Linked DNA regions of Oreochromis niloticus. The protein of the gene in region 1 interacts with the protein of each later gene in a pairwise test. Links are inferred from orthologs where the notes say so. Each region holds a gene or a part of one and is shown in the gene's direction. Other genes may lie near its edges.

Region 1 (7,899 bases):
AGTGTTTTAAATTTTATCTTGAAGTCGTTTTTCCAAATATTTTGAATAGTTTGTTCGGATTTCGCCTGTCATTTCCAGGTTAAAGCTCTCTCCTGTTTCATTTCAAAAGGGTGTACATGAATTAACTGCCAGGGTGAATTGCCAAATGGCATCAACTGGCAAGACTTGCTTCCTGATGCCCTGTACAAGGACTTTGATTGGTAGCTTGAAGTGGGCTGCATTATTTACTGGCAGGACTGGATCATATCACATGTCAAATGGGCAAACAAACCAAAATAGGGATGAATGCCACTGTTTCCAGCAACAGACAGTAACAGACAGATTTGTAGAAAGCAAACATCTGTTGAGCAAAAAATAAACATGTTTCAAGGTTAGATGTTAAAGAAATTGTCACGTACAGCAGCAAAAGTTTGAGGTCAACACACACAGAAACACACATGATAACACAAATATCAAACTATTAAAATATTAAACATATAAAATTCCATGGAAGACAAAACAAAATTATAATAAGATTAATGCACACAGGACTGAGTAGTCAAAATCCAGCTTTTCAGGTCGTGAAAGAAGTTATGATGATCTGTTCAAATTTTTACATTTTTGGAAGCATATTCTAGGCTTTAATTACTTCATAGAAGAAAGCTGATTGTCACGATCAATACAGAACAAACATATTTGTTCTGTGTTGCAAAAGAGCTTTTTCCAGTTGAGACAAATAGCAAAGCTGAAGCCAGTTTTGTCAAGACGTGACATGGAGAAGGTAATACATGCTTTTATTTCAACTCGGCTTGACTATTGTAATGCACTTTATGTTGGAGTCGGCCAAACATCTATTGCACGTCTTCAGCTCATTCAAAATGCTGCTGCCTGCCTCTTAACTGGTACCTGCAGGCATGAACATGTAACACCTATCCTGTCCTCTCTTCATTGGCTTCCTGTTCATGACAGAATTAATTTTAAAATCCTAACGCTGGTTTAGAAATGCCTAAATGATCTTGCTCTCCCATACCTTTCCGAGTTACTTCAGCCATATATTCCTTCGCGGACCCTCAGATCAGATGAGCTGCTGTTGGTTGTCCCAAAATCTAGGCTAAAGCGTAGAGGAGAATGAGCCTTTTCAATTATGGCTCCCAGACTTTGGAATATGCTGCCTTTAAATATTAGACAGGCATCTTCATTCCAGTTTTCAAGTCACTTTTGAAAACTCACCTTTTTTCGATAGCGTTTAGACTGGTGTGAGTTGATATGTTTATTAGAGTTGGATGTCTCAAGACCCTTCTTGGTCTTGAGACCGGTCTCGAGACCACTTTTACATGGTCTCGGTCTTGTCTTGGTCTCGCTGTCTCAGTCTTGTTGTCTCAGATCAACATAGTGGTCGGGAGATTTGGAGTCAACAGTATCCATGACACACAACGTAACGTTCGATAATGTGTCATGCGCAAAGCATCAGCTCTAAGAGCCGTGCTTAGAGAGCGCTTTGTAATGAATCAGAAGTGTCGACTCCCATTGAGCGAGAGCCGGCTCCTCACTTAATTTCCTTTGGCTGCTCAGCTCTCACACAGTGGCTCAGCTGTGCTCCAATCCCTCCATATTGTGGCCAATCACATGCAAGGATATAGGATAATATCATTATGTGAAAAACAGAGAGGGTGATGGACGCGACAGTCAAGTGGAGCGTGCGTCTGTCCTCTCAGTACGTGAGTCAGCCAGTAGACAGCGGTGAGGAGGGCTGTGTGAGTGCATCGCAAAAACACATAAATATGCCTGACACCCGTAAACGAGGCAGCATCTGGCTGCAGTTTAAAGACTTTTTTTGTCTCGGTCTCGTCTCGACTTTGTCTTGGTCTTGACTCGGTCTGTCTTGGTCTCGATACCCTCTGGTCTTGGTATTGTCTTGGTCTTGGTTTAGGCGGTCTTGACTACAAGTCTAATGTTTATTATGTGTATTATTATGTGTTTATGTGAGTGTCAGTGTTTTTTATCTTGTGTTTTACCCCTTTGTTTCTGTACAGCACTTTAGGCTAACTTTCTGTTTTTAAATGTGCTACATAAATAAAATGGATTTGGATCTGTCTGGTCAGACTCAAACGCAAAACTCAGTAGTGCAAGTTTAGAGATTTAGTTATAATGCAGGTGAGGGTTGTGCTATTTACAGTCTTTCAGCAGTTTTTAGTTCAAAAGCTTCTTATTTACAAAATCCAACAAAGGAGCGTTTCCAAAACTGATGGGAACCACTGGGATGTCTTAAACAGAGGACAAGACACATTAGAAATCTTTGTGATGACAACAAGGACCACGACGTGCAGATCAGTGAGGAGATCTCTACCACAGTGAAACAAAGCTCAGGCAAAGACTGAATGTCACATCCCAGCATAGTCAGCTGTTTGCCAGATGTTTTGCAGGTGTTTTGCTTCAGGTGTGTCAGGGAGAGGGCAGAGATCCCACCAGCATTCTCGCCCTGTAAGGTAAAGCAGGGTAAGTAGACACACACACACAGAGCAATAAGCACACATACCAAGAGGGAGAGAGAGAAAAAGACATGGTGTATCTTATGTACTAACGGTGTATATATAAGTTTGACTATATATGGAACATAGATATATGTAATTATGTAGCAAAGACAAAAAATGATAAATAACTCTAAATATGTTTTATATTTTAGATTCCACCCTTTGCTTTGTTGACAGTGCTGCAAACCCTTGGCCTTGTCTAAATGAGCTCCATGATGTAGTTACTTGAAATGGTTTCACTTCACAGCTGTGCCTTGTCAGGGTTCATTCGTGGAATTTCTTGCCTTCTTAATGAGGTTACGCCATAGGTTCCGTTGTGCAGAAGTCAGGTTGGTAGCTGACAGCCCTATTTGACAACTGTCAGAATTCATATGGCAAGAACCAGGCAGCTAAGTAAAGAAAAATGACAGTCCTTCATTACTTAAAGAACTGAAAGTCAGTCAGTTCAGAAAATTGCTAAAACTTTGAATGTGTCCCCAGTTCCACATAGAGTTCCAGTAGCAGACACATCTCTACATCAGGCCTTTATGCTCAAATAGCTGCTAAGAAACCACGACTAAGGAAAAGCAACAAGCAGAAGAGATTTGTTTGGGCCAAGAAACACAAGGAATGGACATTAGACCAGTGGAAATCTGTGCTTTGGTCTGATGAACCAAATTTGAGATCTTTGGTTCCACCCGTGTCTTTGTGCAACACAGAAAAGGTAAACAGATGGTCTCTACATGCATGGTTCCCATCGTGAAGCATGGAGGAGGAGGTGTGATGGTGTAGGGGTGCTTTGTTGGTGACACTAGTGGGGGTTTATTCAAAGTTGAAGGCACACTGATCCAGCATGGCTACAACAGCATCCTGCAGTGACATGCCAACAGATCCAGTTTACGTTTAGTTGGACCATCATTTATTTTTCAATAGCACAATGACCCCAAACACACCTCCAGGCTGTGTGAGGGCTATTTGACCAAGAAGGAGAGTGATGGAGGGCTGCGTCAGATGGCCTGGCCTCCACAGTCACCTGACCTAAACTCAGTTGAGATGGTTTGGGATGAGATGGACCACAGAGTGAAGGCAAACGAGCCAACAAGTGCTCAGCATCTCTGGGAACTCATTCAGGACTGTTGGAAAACCATTTCAGGTGAAGGAGTGTGCAAAACAGTAATCAAAGCGAAGGGTGGCTATTTTGATGAATCTGAAATATAAAACGTGTTATGAGTTATTTCACACTTTTTTGTTTACTATATAATTCCATATATGCTCATTCACAGTTTTAAGCCTTCAGTGAAAATTTACAATGTAAATAGTCATGAAAAGAAGGTGTGTCTAAACTTTTGACTGGTAGAGAACTTGAGTGGAGTTAATTTAGAATTAACGCTACCTGGGCACACGTTTGGCTTGGTGGGTGAGCAGGCAATCTACTGCAGAAAGCAGCAGCCCCCTGCTGACCTTTAGGAAGAAAAACACATTACACACAAATGTATTGGCTTCTTTTCTTGGGAGACACAAGTGTTTTAAATTTTATCTTGAAGTCGTTTTTCCAAATATTTTGAATAGTTTGTTCGGATTTCGCCTGTCATTTCCAGGTTAAAGCTCTCTCCTGTTTCATTTCAAAAGGGTGTACATGAATTAACTGCCAGGGTGAATTGCCAAATGGCATCAACTGGCAAGACTTGCTTCCTGATGCCCTGTACAAGGACTTTGATTGGTAGCTTGAAGTGGGCTGCATTATTTACTGGCAGGACTGGATCATATCACATGTCAAATGGGCAAACAAACCAAAATAGGGATGAATGCCACTGTTTCCAGCAACAGACAGTAACAGACAGATTTGTAGAAAGCAAACATCTGTTGAGCAAAAAATAAACATGTTTCAAGGTTAGATGTTAAAGAAATTGTCACGTACAGCAGCAAAAGTTTGAGGTCAACACACACAGAAACACACATGATAACACAAATATCAAACTATTAAAATATTAAATATATAAAATTCCATGGAAGACAAAACAAGATTATAATAAGATTAATGCACACAAGACTGAGTAGTCAAAATCCAGTTTTTCAGATAAGCAACAAGCAAGAAGATACCTGCCACAGTGAAACAAAGCTCAGGCAAAGACTGAATGTCACATCCCAGCATAGTCAGCTGTTTGCCAGATGTTTTGCAGGTGTTTTGCTTCAGGTGTGTCAGGGAGAGGGCAGAGATCCCACCAGCATTCTCGCCCTGTAAGGTAAGGCAGGGTAAGTAGACACACACACACACACACACACAGCAATAAGCATAAGCACACACACACACACAGAGCAATAAGCATAAGCACACATACCAAGAGGGAGAGAGAGAGAGAGTATTTATGCCTGATCCAATTTTCTGCCTTCTTGTGGGACCCTTTGGTTTGTTTTGGCCTGAACAAATCAAGTATTCTGGAAAAAAAAAACCTTCCCTGATTTTAAACTGTGCTTTATTTTTAAGCCCTTTGGCGCCCTCTGATGGCCACTTTATAACTGATGAATATGACGGTCACTAGGACCCAGAGGAGCGCTGCAGTAGCAGGGAGACCCGGCATCATGGCGGATCAAAACAACACAGACGATAAAGGGAAGTTCTACAGTGAAATTTTAAGGTGTGTTTTTACCTTTAACGGTACCTGTGAGCGGGCTTATTCGCAGGGTAGCGGTATTTTCTCTGGTGTTCTCCCTCAGCGTCTGTTTGTCATTGAATCACTGTGGTCGGAACTCTCAGAGTTCTTGTGCACATGGTAGCACGGGTTAGTTTAAAGCTAATTGTTATCTTCAACGCGAATACGTGCTGAAGAGAAAACGCCTATAGTTTCATTAAAACGCACTGACGAAGCTGCACAGCTGTTTCCAGAGAAACACTGTTACTGAAATATTATCTGGACACGTTTTCTGAAATATTGACACTCTGTATTCGGCTCTCTGTCTCCCTCTGTTGTGTGTTTTGGTAAAAACAGCCGTGGGAGAGAGAGAAAGCATTAGGAAAGTTAGGAATTAAGTAACAGTAAAATATTTTTTGGAAGTCTGCTGTTTTTGTTTTTCTGCACACAGACAAAGCATCAGGGTGGAGTCCTTTTAAAACAAGTCTGGGCGAGATCCCGTGGCACTGAGTCACGACTTTATGACTCAGGATGGCACTTTAATTACACGCAGATGGACTTCATAAGTGATACTAACGTTATACACCAACATGCAAAGCCTGGAAAGTATGCCAGTAACTTGGGGACTGCTGCTTTCTTGTCATGATAATCTTTCACATCGATGCAGCTTTGCTAGAAAGATAAACAAGTTTTACAGTTACCTAAAACTCAGGTATGAACTGAACGTGGGCAAGAAAAATCACTTTAGTTAAATGAAACACAAATAAACTACAACAACCTGTGCAGCTCAAAATGCTTCAGATAACTGAGAAACAGAAACGGAACAAATTAGACAGCGAAACAAGTAACATGCAGTTCTTAGCAATGTAATGTACACAAAATAAAAGCTAAAAGCTGCTTTTTGGGACCCACGGGCCTGTCATGATTCGTAGCCTGGCACCATGTGAGACAAATATGATGTACAGAGACTAAGAAGTGCCTTAAAAACAGCTAAAAGGATTCTAAAGTCATTGCACAAACTAGCAGGCAGCCAGCATGTTGTAAAACTGGTGTTACGGTGCGTTCACGCGATAGAGGCGGCCAGAGCGTCAGGTTTACATGTAAAGTCAGTGGAAAGAGCGCGATGACACGCGATTGCGCGTCCGGTGAAAATTCGGAAGCAGATTTGCGTCGCGAAAACGCCTGAAACGCCTGAAACGCGCGTCAGTGTACCACGTGGGGCGCGTTTGGCTCGCGAAGAAAACCACGCGTGTCAGATTGTGTGTTGCATTTTGTGCACACGTGCGTATCGCGCCAACCGCTGGAGTTGGAAAATCTGAACTCCGGCGTCAAATCGCGCCGCAACAACCAATCAGGAGGCTGGTGATGTGGCTGTGACCTAGGTACTGACGCGCACTGTCCCGCTATTTTCCCACTGATGTACAAATACCTTTCCGCCAACAAGATAATGTGTTTATTCAGAGGACATCTGCAGGAGAAAGTGGAAGAGCCTCAGGGACACATATAATAAGGAGAAGAGGAGTGGGTCTGCAGCAGGATCGGGGAAGAGATGGAAGTTCTTCGCGGTCATGGGGTTTCTGGACCCCTTCCTCACCCCGCGGGAGACTAGCGGCAATATGGTGCGGACCGTGGAGAACTTCCCCCCCCGAGGACCAGGGACAGCCCGGAGAGGCAGCAGGGGAGTGTCAGTCAGAAGGACAAGGTTTACAGTGAATTAATGTAGGCAGTTAATTTATGCGTGTTGTCATATAGGAATATATTTTGTTTATTAATAAAACAGTATACAGTGGTCCCGCTGTTCACCCGTCACATTTCGCTGATTTTTGTTATTGCACCGTACAGCTTTCAACAATGCGCATTGCATTCTGCAGCCTGATTGACAAATCTCCTCCGTGCTGTGTCTCCTGCGCTTGCCAAACTTATCATGTTTGGTTTTGATAACCATCACGTCCAATAGAAAAAACAGCACAAAAACACTCATAACTATGACCCTCATTCGGAGATACACACCTGCACCGCGAGGGAAAAAGGCGCACGAAAGTGGCGCGCAGACGGAGAAAAAGCACAGCATAATAAAACTTCCTCCCACATTTCCAGTTCACGCGCGTCAAAATATGCAATTTTGACGCGCGATGGATTTTTCTTGGACACACATTGAGGTGCGAATGTGCACGCGTCAAATTTGGGGCGTTTTCGCTCGCGCCAATCGGCGTTCGGTGTGAACGCACCGTTACGGTGCGCACACACCGAACGCGATAGAGGCGGCCAGAGCGTCAGGTGTACATGTAAAGTCAATGGAAAGAGCGCGATGACACGCGATTGCGCATCCGGCGAACATGCGGAAGCAGATTTGCGTCGCGAAAACGCCAAAACCCGTAAAACGCGCGTCAGTGTACTGCGTGGGGCGCGTTTGACTCGCGAAGAAAACCATGCGTGTCAGATTGTGTGTTGCATTTTGTGCACACACCCGTACCGCGCCAACCGCTGGAGTTGGAAAATATGAACTCCGGCGTCATAAACACATCAGTGTTTATTCAGTGTCCTCTGAATAAACACATTATCTTGTTAGCGGAAAGGTATTTGTACATCAGTGGGAAAATAGCGGGACAGTAGGCGGGCTTGCTACCTTTTGCGCGGCTTTATCGGGTCAGTCTGAAAATTAAAAAGGAGAATGAATGAACTTACCAGGTTGCCCGATCTCCTCACTTCTGTGCCTCCAAGCTCGGTCCTTTTTATTCCTGTCTCGGTAGAAGTAGCAGCTGGCATCATACAGCTCTGGG
Region 2 (7,994 bases), on another chromosome or scaffold:
AAGTGCCAACTGCTGACATCTTCTGGACGCATGAGGTCATCTGGTGGAGCATAATGATGCTAATGATGCTTTTATATTTGTTTTGGTAAATTAGAGATTTTCTTAGTTACGTTTTAGATTTATTACTTACCCTAGCCAAAGACTTATTGTTTTATGCAAGAATGATTTTTTTCTGTGCTCAACTGGATGACTTGATACAACAATAAATGATGGTTTTTCTATCCATCCACTTTCTTTATTATGGGTCACAGGGGGTCTGAAGCCCATCCCAGTTGTCCTTGGTCAAGAGGTAGGGTACACCCTTTAGAGATCACCAATCTATCGCAGGGCTAAAATGGAGAAACAGTCAACCATTAATATTCACATTTACACCTACAGCCAATTTAGAATCGCCAGTTAGTCTAATTAACTTAACCCAATGCATGTTTTTGGACTTTGGGAAGAGGCTGAAGACTGCTTGAATCAAAGACTGGACATTCATTCTGCAAAGCAACAGTGGTAACCACCACATCACTGTGTTGCACTTTTGACCTTTTCCTAAATGTAAATCAGCAGGACAGAGATAAACACAAAAACATGTTTAATTTACTCAGGCAGCAACACGCATAACCCTTTAAATCAGGTAACACGCATTCACTGCTTTAACTGTATATGCTTAAGTGTGTCACCATACAAAAAAAACATGTTCCTGTTCATGTATATATGTATATAGCTACTTACAAAGATAATGAAAGAACACTTTATTGCTGTAGGTGTTTAACAAAAGGTTTGTATTTGCACTTTAAATGCAGTTTTAGTTAAATTACAGTAGTTATATTAACACATTTATGACATTAGAAATAATAACGGTAGATCTTATTTTCATTCATGCTCGGAAAACTTCCCATTAATGGTTTCGTCCAGCCAAACTGAAACCCCCTTCCCAGATATATTGGTACAGTCGACATGCGCGCGCCAAAGTTTTGTAACAGCAATGGCGTCCAAAGCAGGTGGGTGTGTGTTATAGGAATGTAAACAATACCGTGATTTTTTTTCTACAACAAAAGCTGTAACGGAGTTTGTCTCCGGTTGATATACTGAGGAGGAAGAGGGTTGTACCATTTTGATGCAGCGGTTATCATTCCCATGACTGTTTCTGCCTGTCTTTGTAGGTCATTTAGCTGAATGGCTACATGCAGGAGCAAAGTAGTAACTGCGAAGATATGTACATTATTCACTTTCTGAACTCGTTAAATCTAGCAGGAGTCGGCGCGCTGACCTTTCTGACCATGTTTATTATGCAACGACGCATTAAATGGGTCATTATTATTACTATCTGTTGGGTTATGAAACTTCTCAGCCTGCACGTGCCTGAGTCCTCCTCTACTCACTCTCCTCCCACCAAGGGCATGACAGGAGGAGTTGGAGCATTGGGCATTTATAAAACAGAACTCTTTTCTTCATTTTATTATGCTATACATTAAATATGACATGTAGCACAGCTGCATCCGAAATTATTTTGTACTGCTGTATTGTAAGACCTCTAATGTAACGGTGGTAATTGCATCTTTGTGTATTTAGGGCTTCCGTTATTTCAATTCAGTGACCATCTCATGTAACCTAAACAGAAAGAACTAGTTGTTTAAGGAGCTCTTTTCCCACCATGGTTTGTATTTTCCAGCTGTTTAAACCTTTGAAAAGATTACTGTTGGAGCTATGTAGTGGTTCGTTGTTTAATGGTTGTGTTGTTTAGTTCATCTTGAGTCCTGTGACAAACTGGCGATCTGCCCACAGTGTAAACTCCCTGTCGCCCTATTTGAGCTGGGAGTCTCACACCCAGCTGCAATCCTGAATTGAATAAGCAGAAGAAGATGGATGGAATGGTGGATGGATGATTGCTTTATTTTGGGCTTTTGTAAGACTCTAGTAAGGCCAAAGACACCTCAGGCTAAATAAGTAGGTGGGCGGGCATAGGACCAGCATGCACCAGGGAGGGCCTATGGTTTTATTTAACCATGGCAAAGGAAGCAACAGGAGCCAGCTGCTTGCAAAGGATCAAGTAAATCGATGAACTGCATGTATTTTTTCTTTTGGGAAATTGACTTCTTTTTTCTTCTACATACTTTACTTGCACATTGTGCATCACTGGCCTTTTGATTGTGAATTTTGAATTTCACTTTTCGACAAGCTGCCACTACAGATACACCCTTGAGTCCTGAAATGTAGCTTCTTGTGCAGGCTACTCTCTTCTCTGTCCTATTGATGTTTTTAGAAATTTTCCATTCAGTATTGTGCGGTCTGATTGAATTCTGGGTCATGGTCAAAAGGACAGAGGATAAATGAGATATGGAGACACAAATTCAAGAAATAGCCAAACACAAAACTACACATGTGTGTTTTTAGGTCGTGGTGGGAAGAAGCGCAAAGCAGAAGTTCAGGTAGAGGAGGAGAAACCTTCAGTGGAGGAAAAGAAGGGCAGAGGAGACGATGAAAGCAGCCAGGAAGGCCTCAGGGTGGTCATTGAACACTGGTATTTTTTTTTAATCACATTATAATCAGTGGTGAAGGAAATGCTAATTGCTTTTATGTAAAGTGAGTAAATATAGCCGTTGTTTTAAAATACTTAATCACAAATAAAAATCCAAGTGTTTAAGTATCAGAGGTGAATGTATTGATTAGGTGGAAAAAAAACAATGGTTCTCATGAAATCTGTTTATATTATTATTAAACCAGAAGCAAAATGGATAACATCACAGTTCACTTTGTAACTCAACTATTTAAATCTGCAACAAGGTGTAATCTTGATGTCTCACTTCTGGCAGTAAAAGCTGACGAGTGTACGGGCGTAATGCTGAGGAGGTGAAATCCGCCCTCCTGGCTGCCTGCCCTGAACTGACTGTGGTCCTCAACCCTGAGAAACCTCGCAGGAACAGCTTCGAGATCACTCTGCAGGACGGGGGCAAAGGTAAACACGCTTACTCAGCAATATGGATCCTTCAGTGTAAAATAATGATACAAATGACACTTTCTTCCCGATTCCTAAAGAAACATCTCTGTGGACTGGAATAAAGAAGGGCCCACCTCGTAAGCTGAAGTTTCCACAGCCTGAAGTGGTAGTTTCTGCTCTGCAGGAGGCTCTGAAGGCTTAGACACCCAGTGAAGGTTTGGCAAAGCAGTTTGACTGAATAATGAATGCATAAAACAAACAGATACAAAATAAGAAAATGCAACTTTACTTTTTCTTCACATTAAACTGCTAACTTATGTAGCCCTGTAAAGAGAATCAAGTCAAAATGTCTTCAGTATGAATTGTAATGCAGCTATTCAGTGAACAACAGTTGCGTACAAGTGTCTTTTTAACAAAACGTTTCCCATATTATTTGCAGCCCAGCATTCTGGAGATGCAGCCAGTGGAAGCAAAAATGACGAGAAGTGACCAAGGAGATGTTCTCAGTCCCTCCTCTGATGAGCCATGCTCTAACTGCTGCCATCTTCTGGGTGCACGGTGACACCTAGTGGAGCTTAGCTGAGCCAAAGCATTTCTCTGACACATTACTGCTGTTTACTGTTGTTTCACAAAAGTTCAGTAGTGGTTTTATGTCTGTTTTGTTTTTTGAGAAATAAAATCTTTTTTTGGTAATTGTGTGTATTTTGTTATAAGTCTATCCAAACACTCATCTGTTTTATGGAAAGTTTTTCTTATTTAAATTCAGGAAGTGTGGAGAAGAAAACTAGAGATGCATTTTGTGTGTTGAACTCTTGGCAAATAAAGTAAATTTTACTAATTGAAATGGTTAATAGTTTTAAACAGCTGACAAAGTACCTTGTAGCATATTTCAGAAGGTTGTCTAATTGCATTAACCCAAGCAGTGCCCTTAATTAGTAATTTGAGGGCTCTGGTAGTGTTATGCAAAAAAGTAATTGCCAAAACGTGATTGCAAATATTTGCTAAAAATGGTTGCAGGTATTTAAACAGTTTTAAAACACTTGTTGGACTTTAGAAATTAGTATATCAGAAGAACAGTTGAGGTTGAGCAGATTGGAGACAAAGTTAAAGAGGAAAGGCTGAGATGGTTTGAACATGTGAAATGGGTACATTGGATAAAGTATGTTCAATCTGGAATTTCCAAGCAGGAGGAAAGAGCAAGACCACAGAGAAGGTAGTGAAGGAAGACATGCAGAGGATTTGCGTGACCATGGAGAATGCTAGGGATAGAGTGAGATAGAGACACAATCCGTTGTGGCGAAATGAAAGAAGATTTGTTAATCTGTGTAATCTATTATCTGTCAAGCGTCTCTTGTGTGAATGAAATCAAGCCATCCCAAATCCCCCACCCCAATTTTTTAATAGAACTTTATTAAGCAACAGTATACAGAGAGTGTATACAAATTGAAACATAATTAACATATGCCAGGGGGTGTAATGTAAAACGTTACATACATTCAGATAATTTTTAATTAGTACAAATAATAATTGTTTTTATAGCCTTTTTATTAAGTGAACCACTAATCAATTTTATGTAAGATAGACTATCATTATAGTACTGTTTAAAATTAGGTTGTATTTGCATTTGTGGAAATAAAATTTAGCTAAGATAACTAACAGGTTTATTATAAAGTATACATCCTCATTTTTTGCCTTCGAAAGAAACAAAATACAGAATTTTCCCATTTCATAGTAAAGTTCTTGTAGAAAAACATTCCTGTCACAAAGTAGATGCTATAATGAATTTTGTGTCACACGTGCAAAACTAATATAAACACGTCGCGTTGTGAGGACGTCACACAATGACACCCAAAAAGTGATCGTCTGCTAAGTGTTTGCGAAATTTTGTTTTGTTTTTTATATCAATATAAGCAAGGATAGCAGACACACAAAAAGGATTCAAAGTCTTCCGTTTTTGGCAAACGAACATTTTGTTTTAATAGTTGCCAGGATGTGACGTCATTATCACGCGACCAGACACTTCAACGGTTCCTCATGAGCACGGGACCGATTTCTTTCTACAACAAGTCTTGAAATTGGTGCGTAACTTTTATATATTACAAATTATTACGTTTTAGACTTTTGCTTGACGTTGCGAGAATTATCTAACGGGTTTGTAAGCAGTCATTCGACCTTTGCTAGTCTTAGAAAGGTCGAATTACCCCCGGTGGCTCCGCTAGCTGGTTTGTTGATTTAACTGGTTTCCCTCTTAACTTTATTTGAACCTATCATTGTCCGTAATCAGGTGTGTTTTTGCAATTTGGCTTATCAGGTAGCCAAGATTAATCCCACCGCCGTGGTTTTAGGACAAAATCACTGAAGTGTCCTTCCATTTCAAATTATCGTGGGCCTTCTGCTGGACTACATCGAGTTGCATAAAAATCTTACGGTCCAAAGTTTTGTTATATTATATTATTGCTGTGAACTTATAGTCTCATATATAGAAAACCCTTTTCAAAGAATTAATATGTGAAAATATATGGACCAACTTTGGACCATAAAACTTTCAGGGAAATCGAAAATGGTCAAGCAGAAAATGTTCAAAAAATGTCGTGATCTGACATTGAATAATCCTGCCGGAAAACACCGAGCACAATATTTAAACAATTGGATCTGTTACTCTGTGTGGTCAAGTTTATCCTTTATGCATACAATGTTCAAACACCAAATTTAAAATAATGTGAAGGGTAATGCTAGAGTTAAAATTAGTGTTATTAAAAAGTTATGGGACTTCAGTAGTTAGCTTGTGACTTTAATTTGTAAATACTTAATAAACATCTGTGTTAACACACTTTCCTTTAAGCATTGCTTTATTAGAGAAGCTGTGTGTAATGTTTTGTCGTATTACTACTTTATGTATGGTATGCATGTAACTTTTGCTTTTCAGCATGCTACTTCTGCCAAGTTATTGCAACCTGAAGTTTCTTGTTGACAGTCATGGCAACAGAGGGGGTGGAAAAGACGAGTGAAGATGCTCCAGCAGCTGGAAAGGCCAGCACCAGGTATGACCTGGAAAAGGAGACTGAACTTCGCTTTGAGGTGGAGTCGGGGGAAGCAGCTGAACAAGTTGAACTGGAGCTCCTCACAGGAATGGCTGAGGTGTTTGGCTCCGAGCTAAACCGAAACAAAAAGTATACATTTGGACCAGGCTCCAAGATTGCGGTTTTCACTTGGCAAGGCTGCAGTGTGAATCTTTATGGGAAGCCAGAGGTAAGCATGTGGATGGGAATCCTTGCAGATTTGGGAAAGTTCAAATGTGTCTGTTGTGTTACGTTTTGTCACATCATTGTGTGTTTTACTTTGGGTAAAAAAGGCAAAGCCACAAATAACCATCGTCTTGCTGTCACCATCGCAGGTTGCTTATGTGTCCAAGGATACACCCATGCTGCTCTACCTAAACACACATGCAGCCCTTGAACAGATGAGAAAACAAGCAGAGCGTGACAATGAGAGAGGACCAAGGGTACGTTTGACTGGGGAACTACTTCATTCAGGAACTTGTCAGATCCCATGAATACTTCTTGGATTAATACTAAATAATAAATCGACCCTCAGGTGATGGTGGTGGGACCGACAGATGTTGGGAAGTCAACGGTGTGTCGGATGCTTCTCAGCTATGCTGTGAGGGTTGGAAGGAGGCCAACATTCGTGGAACTGGATGTTGGACAGAGCGGGGTAAGATCAAGTGGAATTATCATTATAAATATCAAACAGTTGGCTGGTATTTAGAATATTGCATATTACAGCCTGCAGACTCAGTTTGTCTTGATTTTGTCCAAAGTAATGCTAAAGCATGTACAGCATCTACTTTGTTTATTTAGCTTTATAGCTGTGATGATCCCCCTGTTGATCTGTCCATGTGGCTTTTTCTGTTTTATCAGATTCACAAGTTCTGGAAAAAAATCCTGGTGTCTGTTTTAATATCTGTACAAAGAAAAAGAACATTAGTCTTTCAGTTGTTTACTGTCACTGGTGTTAATTCAAGTTATTGCAATAAACGTCAGAACATAAAGATTTCTGCACAGAATTGAGAGCACTGAATTGCTCCCTTCATTTATTTAAGGGAAAAACTATCCAAACCTTCCTGGCCTTGTGTGAAAAACATATTTGCTCCTTAAATCTAGTGACTGGTTGTGCCATCATTTCCAGGAAAATACTTAGAAAATACTTAGGTTTGTAATAACTGCGAATAACTTTCACATCACTTTGGAGGAATTGTGGATGACTTTTCTTTGCAGAATAGTTTTAATTTATCCACACTGGAGGGTTTCCAAGCATCTCAATTTGATTTAAGTCCAGGCTTTAAGTAAGCCACACCAAAATCTTTAATTCAGAGGTGGACGTGGTGGCATGTTTTGTGTCATTATCCTGCTGCATAAGCTAAGTGCACTTGAACTGATAGACACCCTCCTTCAGGATTTTCTCATAGAGAGCATAGAGGTTCCATGAATTACAGCACCCTAGACTATCATACTACCACCACCATGTTTGACTGCTGATCAAAATAGTTCCAGTTTTTATCTCATTAGTCCACAGGTCTTGGGGATTATTAAGTTGTTTTCTGCCAAATGTGAGATGAGCCTTTGCTTTATTTTTTGTTAGCAGTGGTTTTCTCGTTTGAACTCTCCCATGGAAGTCAGTTTGTTTCACAACTGTTCTTTTAGATCATAGCATAATGTATTGCTTTTAGCCCACTTCACGTTGTCATACAGGATCTGTATTTCTTGATTCAACAGGTCTTGTAGTAATCATACCTGGGTGTGGCTAGTAAAATTGAGCTCAGCTTTCCAGAAAATGTGGTTAATCATAGTTAGTGATTCAGTTTATGATTCAATAAGGGAGCAGATTACTTTTTCACACAGGTAAGTTTAGATAGCTTTTTTTCCCTTAATAAATGAAATCATCATTTAAGTGGTTTTTTTTTTTGTTGTTTGTTTGTTTGTTTTTTGTTTTGTTTTTTTCAATTTACTCAGGTTACCTTAGTCTAATATTAAAATTTGTTTAATCTGAAACATGTAATTGTGACAAA
Region 3 (7,447 bases), on another chromosome or scaffold:
AAATACACCACGCTGTACAGGCACATCCAGAAACACCAGTTCTACACGGTGGATCGACAGCAGCACGCTCAGGGGGCGGAGCCCAGCAGCTAGAGACCAGCCTCACCCACTGTGTCTGTGACCACTTAGTCGGACCCACGACCAGAATGGAGTCCGTGTTAGTGTGTCATCGGTCACATGTGACGCTTCAGTGTCAGACCTGATGTGCAATGAACTCACCTTCACACACACACACACACACACACACACAGCTCTGTTTCATGTAGTGAGCTCAGCTTTGGTTCATGTCTGTGTGTGTGAGGCTGCTCGTCCTCCATCTGACCTTCTTTCTTTAGCGCGTTAGTTAGGGCTGTGCGATATGACCAAAATCTCATATCCCGATATTAAGACATCTATCGTCCGATAACGATATAAATCACAAAAATGTAACATTTTCTGTAAATTCTGTGAATCTCGGGCAGCTCGACTTGCGTGAAGTGTTTCCAGCTGGGCGTCATGGACCTGGAGTCAAGTGTTTTAACTGATGCATGAAACGATACATTTTTAGACATAAGTTGTAACGGCCGCCGTTTTCTTTGTGAGTATTTATTACACAGCGTGCTGCGGGGAAAAGCCTGTTCTAACGTTTGAGTCTAAGGTTTATTTTTTTTAGCACCTGACGGCTCTTTTTTTGCTTCTCATCCGTAAATACTCTGCATCTTTCATGTGATTCAGTTTATTTTGAAAAGTCTCAACAGGATCTTGAGCTTTATTGTGAAAGGTTTATGTGGAAAATAAACAAGCGGACATGCCGTGGTTTTACCGTTGTTGTTGCTAACGACAACCCATAAAAACAGGCGCTTGTCTGTCTGTAGTGTGGTTATATTAAATATAAGAGAAAGACAGAACTTTAAGAAATTCATATAGCCACTACAGTGACCATCAAAATGATGAAAAAATATTGCCGTAAACAGTTTATTTTGCGACACCACGAAACAAACGATAGCGTAAAATGAAACGATAGACGTTTTTATATCGTCATCCGATATATATCGTTATATCAAACAGCCCTAGCGTTAGTTGTGTGAACTTTGACCTTTTGTTGTCCCTGAGCCACACCGAGGGTCTCAGAGGAAATTACAACTTTTATTTTATTCTGAAATAAAGTTTCTTAAATCGCACTTCCTGCAGCTCTCTGCTGTTTCCTGCCGTGGAGCTGCAGGTTTTCACCCTCGGGGGCAGAATGTGGCGGGTGGGTCATCGCCATGACGATTGTAGTGTGTGCAAGAACAGTGATTATTAACACTGATTATAAATCCCAGTTCTTCTATCGGCCCGTGAACGCAGCGTTTCACCTTCATGTGCATTAAAATGTGTAGAGATGGGCAGTAACTTGTAGTAAGTAAGTAATATGTAATCTGAAGTAATCCGATTACTTTTTTCATGTAAGGGATTGAGTAAAGTAAGGGATTACTATTGCAAAAAAGTAATTAGATTACTGTTACCTTCCCGTAAGCACGCTGCATTACTGCAATACTAAACCGTGATTTTGTTTGTTTGTGTCTCATGACAATGACGTACGAGCGTGCGGCTTCAGTGGCAGCAACAGACGTGTGCAGATCAACAATGGAGTGATGGAGAGAGTGTGACCATGCAGCCTTTAAAGCGTGGAAGTACTCACATTACTTTGAGTTTGATTCTGTAAAAAGTGACAGAAACATTAGTGTCCGCTGTGCACTCTGTGTGGGAAGAAAACTTCTTTCTAAATTTGAGCGAGCACCGAGCACGCTGCCACGGGAATGTGACGTTCACAGAGAAAGCCCCGGATCCCCCCACTGACATGACTGCTGTGGGCAAACCTCCACCCGCCCCACTCCTGCTGAACAATAGATTTAAGAGCGACAGGACTCAGTGCTGCTGAATCTGCTGTGTTTTACATGCATCTATTTCAAAGAGTGAGTGTAAACACAAAACATGATTTTATTTTATATGCTGGAATATGCAGAATAGGTATAAATGTTAAACATATTTCTTCAAGTCAATATAATTTAATGTTGTGCATAAAATTAAAAAGATTAAAACAAATAAAACAAGTTTTAAAAAGAGACTTTTTCATTTGATTCCATTGTATATGATGGATTATGCAGAAAAATAGAATTGGGCTGAAAGGTCTGTTGCTTTATTACATATTCAGGTTTGTATCATGTTTTTAAAAAGTAACTAAGTAATAAAGTAACTAATTACTTTTGAAAATAAGTAATCAGCAAAGTAAAGGGATTACTTTCTTGGAGAAGTAATCAGTAAATAGTAACTAATTTCTATTTTCAAGTAACTTGACCAACACTGCCTGTGACTGACCTGTGTTCGACTCTCGGCTGAAGCAGAAGTAAAACTTTGTTTTGGTAACCACGGCTGTGTTACATACACAACACATATTCAGGTATTTATTCAGAAAAAGTTTTATTTGTATCGTTGTTCAAACTCCTGAAGTAACAAATGAGTTTTGCTGCTTTGACTCTGAGCTCTCACATTTACTATGAATGATTTTCACACTTTGAGGTCTCAGGTGTTTCTGTGATTCAGTGCAGACCAATCAAAATGCTATCAGAGCAGGGGCACGGCTAGGCTGGCGTGGAAACCAAAGCCATTTACACATATGTAGGTGTTACATTCTCTAATATGCATCATATATGTACTGTATAGCCTGTTTAATAAATATGTTTGCAGCCCAATAAGTATAAAATCCAGAAAGCTACAAAACATGGTTCAGCTACAAACACAAGTCTAACTTCAGTTTCACTCTTTTTATTACAAATAATCAAGTTAATTTTACACAAAATGTCAGAAATGTGCACGTCATGAAACATTTTTCACCAAAAATTTAAACCTAATTTTTCAGGATTCGTTGGGTTAACCCGCTGGGCTCCAGGATACAACAGCTCATTTTTAACTATGTTTGATTTTATATTTATTACTATTCATTTTTTCTCGCCTTATTTTATTTCCTTTTTCTTTTCAGCACAAGGTCTGAATTCACAGTTAGTTTTTCATTGGCATGCTGTATTAATACAACTCATCTGAAATCACACAAGAACATAAAAACCAAGTAGGAAAAAGTTCATTTTATTTTAAAAACTCGTGCAAAAATTTGATAAACAATAAAGTTATACACAACTTTTGACCTAAAAATGCAGCCAATGCATCTGGTGATTTTTGTATAACCTTTTAAGAATACTACTAAAACTAAAATTAAAGAACAATCAGGTGACACAATAAGATGCCCCACAGTGCAAAAAATAGTTTGTCCACCACAAGACAGAGGAGAACCCCACAGGGATAAACCTGCAGGTCTAACAACAGGAAGTGGATCACTCGTCCTGGAGCCAGCGTTTACACTGCAGTCTGCCTTTGTGACGTTCATTAGTGCCCTCACTGACACACAAAACAAAACAAATGACTACACAACACACTAACTACACACTCCAAACACGAGAAACGTCACAAATCTCTCACAACTTAAGACTCGCTGTCCATATCCCTCTCTCTCTCTCACCACCGTTGCTCCAACACTTCCCCCTCCTCCTAAATGAACCAATCCCACGTGTTGCCATATTTTTATTTTTATTTTTTTGGTACATTGGTGGCTTTTTTTTCCTTTTATTTTTTGTGCTGTCCTTAGAAAACGCATTTTTATGATTAAAAAAAAAGCATCGTGTATATAATTTTTTTAATCATAACTCTGGTTTTAGTAGCCTGTCAATAAAATTTACAAATATATAGTTTGGAGTCTGAACTTTCAACACAAGCTGAAACAGCGACTCAGCGTGGCTGCAGCTTGTAGCTATATCGGCTTAAATCAGTCATGTGATTTGGAGGCGCAGCACACACAGGGTTAATAGCGCTCACCTTCATCATCACACCACCTGTTTGAAATCTGAAATGCCCATGGTGTTGCTCAAAATGTGCTCCGGCACAGATGTGGGCGGGGGTGACACTATACAATATAATATGTGTTACAATTTATATTTAGTGTGAACTTGTAGCTAGGCTTAAAGTGTTAATGCTAACTTATTTTAATAAACAACATTATCACATGCAAAGCCAAGGAGGCAGTAGGGGTGGCAAGAGATTATTTTAGGGTGCTACCTCATGCCACCCCGTAGATCCGCCCCTGTTTCAGAGGCTTTTAGTGGCAGATGGATGGAGTGCATCCACACAGGTGGTGCTGGCAGCGTGAATGGATGAATTCATTACCGAAGGCACAGCTTCCGTTTTTAGCCTGACAGGAAGTGTTCGTCAGATTTAGGATGACACACAGGAGCCCGCAGGGGGCGGTAACGGGTTACGGGAAAAGAAGAAGAAGAACTGGAGGTGGAACTACACGGAGAAGATCGACAGTTCCAGTCGGACACAGATTCGGTGACGCCACAGCAAAACGAACCGCGCGGAGGCTAACAGCTAGCAGTGCCAGACCCGCAGTGCCAGCCCGGTTCGACACCAGGGAGCATGCACGCGGACTTCCGGGCTCCCCGGCGCCGCCTCCGGGTCACGGAGGAGCTCGAGGCTCCGCTGCCGCTCAGCCCGCGCGAGAGGAGTCACTTCCGGGCGGAGCTCCTCAATGAGCACGTGCTGGTCTGTGATCCGGAACACAGCCAGAAGATCCACGACCAGGTCTGACCACACCCACCTCACCCGAGCCCCTCCCATCTTCTACAGAGCTAACAGCCGCGCGTGAGAATCAGAACAGCCTTTTTTTTCTTTTTCTTTTTTTTAACTTTATTAGTAGAATTACACGGGCACAGACGGTCACGGGGTTCGTGTAGCGGCCGTTAGACACAGACTGGGGCTGAAACAACATATCAAACAAGCAGCTTTATGGGAATGTTGTAACATATTGCCTGGTTTGCATTAGAAAATTTGGATTGAGATTTAGCCAGTAAGATTAGTAAATTAATCAAATAAACTTCGTTTGCTTTATTTCCAGGGTCAAAAAAGCCAAACATTATTTTTCCATAACAGAGAGAGCGGTCAGAATAGATCAACGAAACAACAAAGGCACAGAAATCCCACCAGGAAAGATAAAGTAGATAAACAGGACAAAGACACGTGAGCAATCTCTTCATTCTGACAGGAAACAAAATGAACAGTTAACATCAGTCTTTTTTTATATCGTACAAGAAAAGTTCTGGTGGGGTCAAAACGATGAATGATTTTCAAAGATATTTTCTTTACTTTGTTGGTTAACTGGAGTTTCGATGATAAGGTCCAAATTTTCTTCCACTCCAGGTCCCAGTATAATTAGTTATTCCAGTGAGCACTGGCCACTGGGACACAAGTTCTGTCTTTCTGAAACAGAGTTGGTTTGTCACGGGTGTTTTTCTTCTTTAGATAGGGGAAACAGCAGGATCCAGTGGTAGAGGGTCAGATCACTAACAACAGAGTTTCACCAAGTCGCCGGTCCTGGTGTCGAGCGCACAATTTGACGTCACATCTTGTGTTAGCCGTTAGGGTTAGAATCCTGCAGTAAAACCCCATTGCTCACTTTGATAACTACCCTGACGCTCACACTGTCCTCCAATCATAAAGCCGTTAGGACGTCAGTGTTCAACATTCAGACAAGAGGAAGAAGGAAATAAACAGGAGAGTCCTGCCGCAGCGTCCTGCACTTTAATGCTGGATTTAAATACTAGTGTCCATAAAGGTGCCACGACCTCCTTACACTCACCTGTACTTATATCCACGGCTACAGATGGCTGCCAGCACGGCGCTGGCACCCTTACTGATCTGGATTATTGATAATCTAATTGGACTCTACATCCCAGGGTGCCAGTGTGACAGTATAAAGAAGGCGGAGCTTCAGGTAAAGCTGCAGTCTTTCAGACGGCCTCCAGGGGGCGACAGCTGTCAAACCGGTGCTCTGACCTCACTGAGCAATTTGCTGATACACTTATGACTAAATCAGAATCCTTTATTAATAAGAGTAAGAAGAGTAACAGACTGAACTAAATTAAATATATAAATTAAATACAATATATTACAAAGTTACAAAAAATATGAAATAGCACTATATAAACAAATAGCTCAATGATAAATGTCCAGATTATTACAGAGATTAAATATACATGATAGACATTTTTCACTCTAACCTGTAAAACTTTGTCGTTTTCACTGTGGAGGACGTACAAACGCTGTAACTACTCCACCGTGTGCTGTATATTAGGCTGTGTCCCAATTAAGAGACCGCACGCTTGAAGTACGCGCACTACACGTACTACGTACGGTGCGTAATATAAGTACAAGAAGTGCGGAAGTGAGAGGCTTGTGAAATGGGACGGTCTAGCCTTCGTAGCGCTGTTCAGGTTGCCTAGCAACCATGATACTAACCGCGAGAAACGTTACATACAGCTTTGTGTGACATAAATGAAGGAGAAAAAATGTTTTGTTGGTCAATCATTTTTGTCATGACATCACTTTGATTAGTTGAGTATCTGAGGCTGAGACCACAGGACTGTGAAACATGATTGTTGGGCTTCATTTCTGTACTGAACAGTCATTTCAAGATTAGTTAGTAAATAACAATTAGCTAATGTTGTTCATGAGACTAAAATCATCTCACTGTGGTAATGTAAATATAATATGGCCAATATTATATGTATTGTCAGATTATTATGATATGTATATATATATATATATATATATATATATATATATATATATATATATATACATATATATATATATATATATATATACATATATTATTTTTTTAATATATTTTTTTACAGGATATATTACAGCAGTGAGCTTGAACTCTGGGTCAAAGATTCAAGTTGCTGTTATTTATATTACCTATTCCTTAAATCTTCACTCAAAGACAAGTATCTCTGACAGTGTATATACAGATGTATTATATATAAGAGACAAACATTGTTCGTTTAATATGTTGACATTACTAAATTTAGCTCAGTGCTTACATATATGTGGAAAAACAAAATGTACGAGCTGTGATAACTGTGTCTGATAAAATGAAGAGTAGACTGATATATTAAATATTCCTTTATTGGGTGAGAAAATCAGACCATGTCATAACTGCTTTAAGTCATACAGAATAGATATCAGAGCCTTAAACAGGCTGACTTCTGCTAAATGGGTCAAACTGGGCAGAAAGTCTACAAACACATAACATCCTTATAGAATATGATGTAACACTATAGATCAACTTAGCTCAGAATATATAAAGCATATAAACAATTACAGCAATATGACGCAACAAACACAGCAGTGCTACTAATCCAAAATACTCAAAGCTTCATAGAACTGAAACAAACATTTATTTTTAGCTCCATTCTGCTGCTGATACATACTTTAGGTTTCTGAATATTAAACTTGTTGCTGCCTTTCATAGTGTGTAACTTGAAGGCCCTGAGTACTTTCTCCCACACTGAAAACACTGGAATGATAACATTAT

What was found. The genes of interacting proteins can lie anywhere in the genome.
Region 2: the proteins of tsen54 (region 1) and clp1 interact in binary tests that used the Homo sapiens proteins (3 or more experiments, as listed by UniProt). The link is inferred for Oreochromis niloticus from reciprocal best matches to the Homo sapiens genes TSEN54 and CLP1.
Region 3: the proteins of tsen54 (region 1) and tsen2 interact in a two-hybrid assay, tested with the Homo sapiens proteins (2 studies listed by BioGRID and IntAct). The two-hybrid records come from large-scale screens. The link is inferred for Oreochromis niloticus from reciprocal best matches to the Homo sapiens genes TSEN54 and TSEN2.

What each region holds. Positions count from the first base shown.
Region 1 is NC_031969.2:32,227,630-32,235,528, reverse strand, and holds the start of tsen54 (tRNA-splicing endonuclease subunit Sen54), read left to right. Parts: upstream 1-4,883; 5' UTR 4,884-5,009; coding exon 5,010-5,125; intron 5,126-7,899.
Region 2 is NC_031966.2:22,597,522-22,605,515, reverse strand, and holds the start of clp1 (polyribonucleotide 5'-hydroxyl-kinase Clp1), read left to right. Parts: upstream 1-4,833; 5' UTR 4,834-5,004; intron 5,005-5,852; 5' UTR 5,853-5,902; coding exon 5,903-6,175; intron 6,176-6,320; coding exon 6,321-6,428; intron 6,429-6,520; coding exon 6,521-6,640; intron 6,641-7,994. UniProt on the Homo sapiens protein: Polynucleotide kinase that can phosphorylate the 5'-hydroxyl groups of double-stranded RNA (dsRNA), single-stranded RNA (ssRNA), double-stranded DNA (dsDNA) and double-stranded DNA:RNA hybrids. dsRNA is phosphorylated more efficiently than dsDNA, and the RNA component of a DNA:RNA hybrid is phosphorylated more efficiently than the DNA component.
Region 3 is NC_031970.2:1,298,349-1,305,795, reverse strand, and holds the start of tsen2 (tRNA-splicing endonuclease subunit Sen2), read left to right. Parts: upstream 1-4,286; 5' UTR 4,287-4,485; coding exon 4,486-4,650; intron 4,651-7,447. Other genes in the region: MKRN2 opposite strand protein, read left to right, coding at 1-93.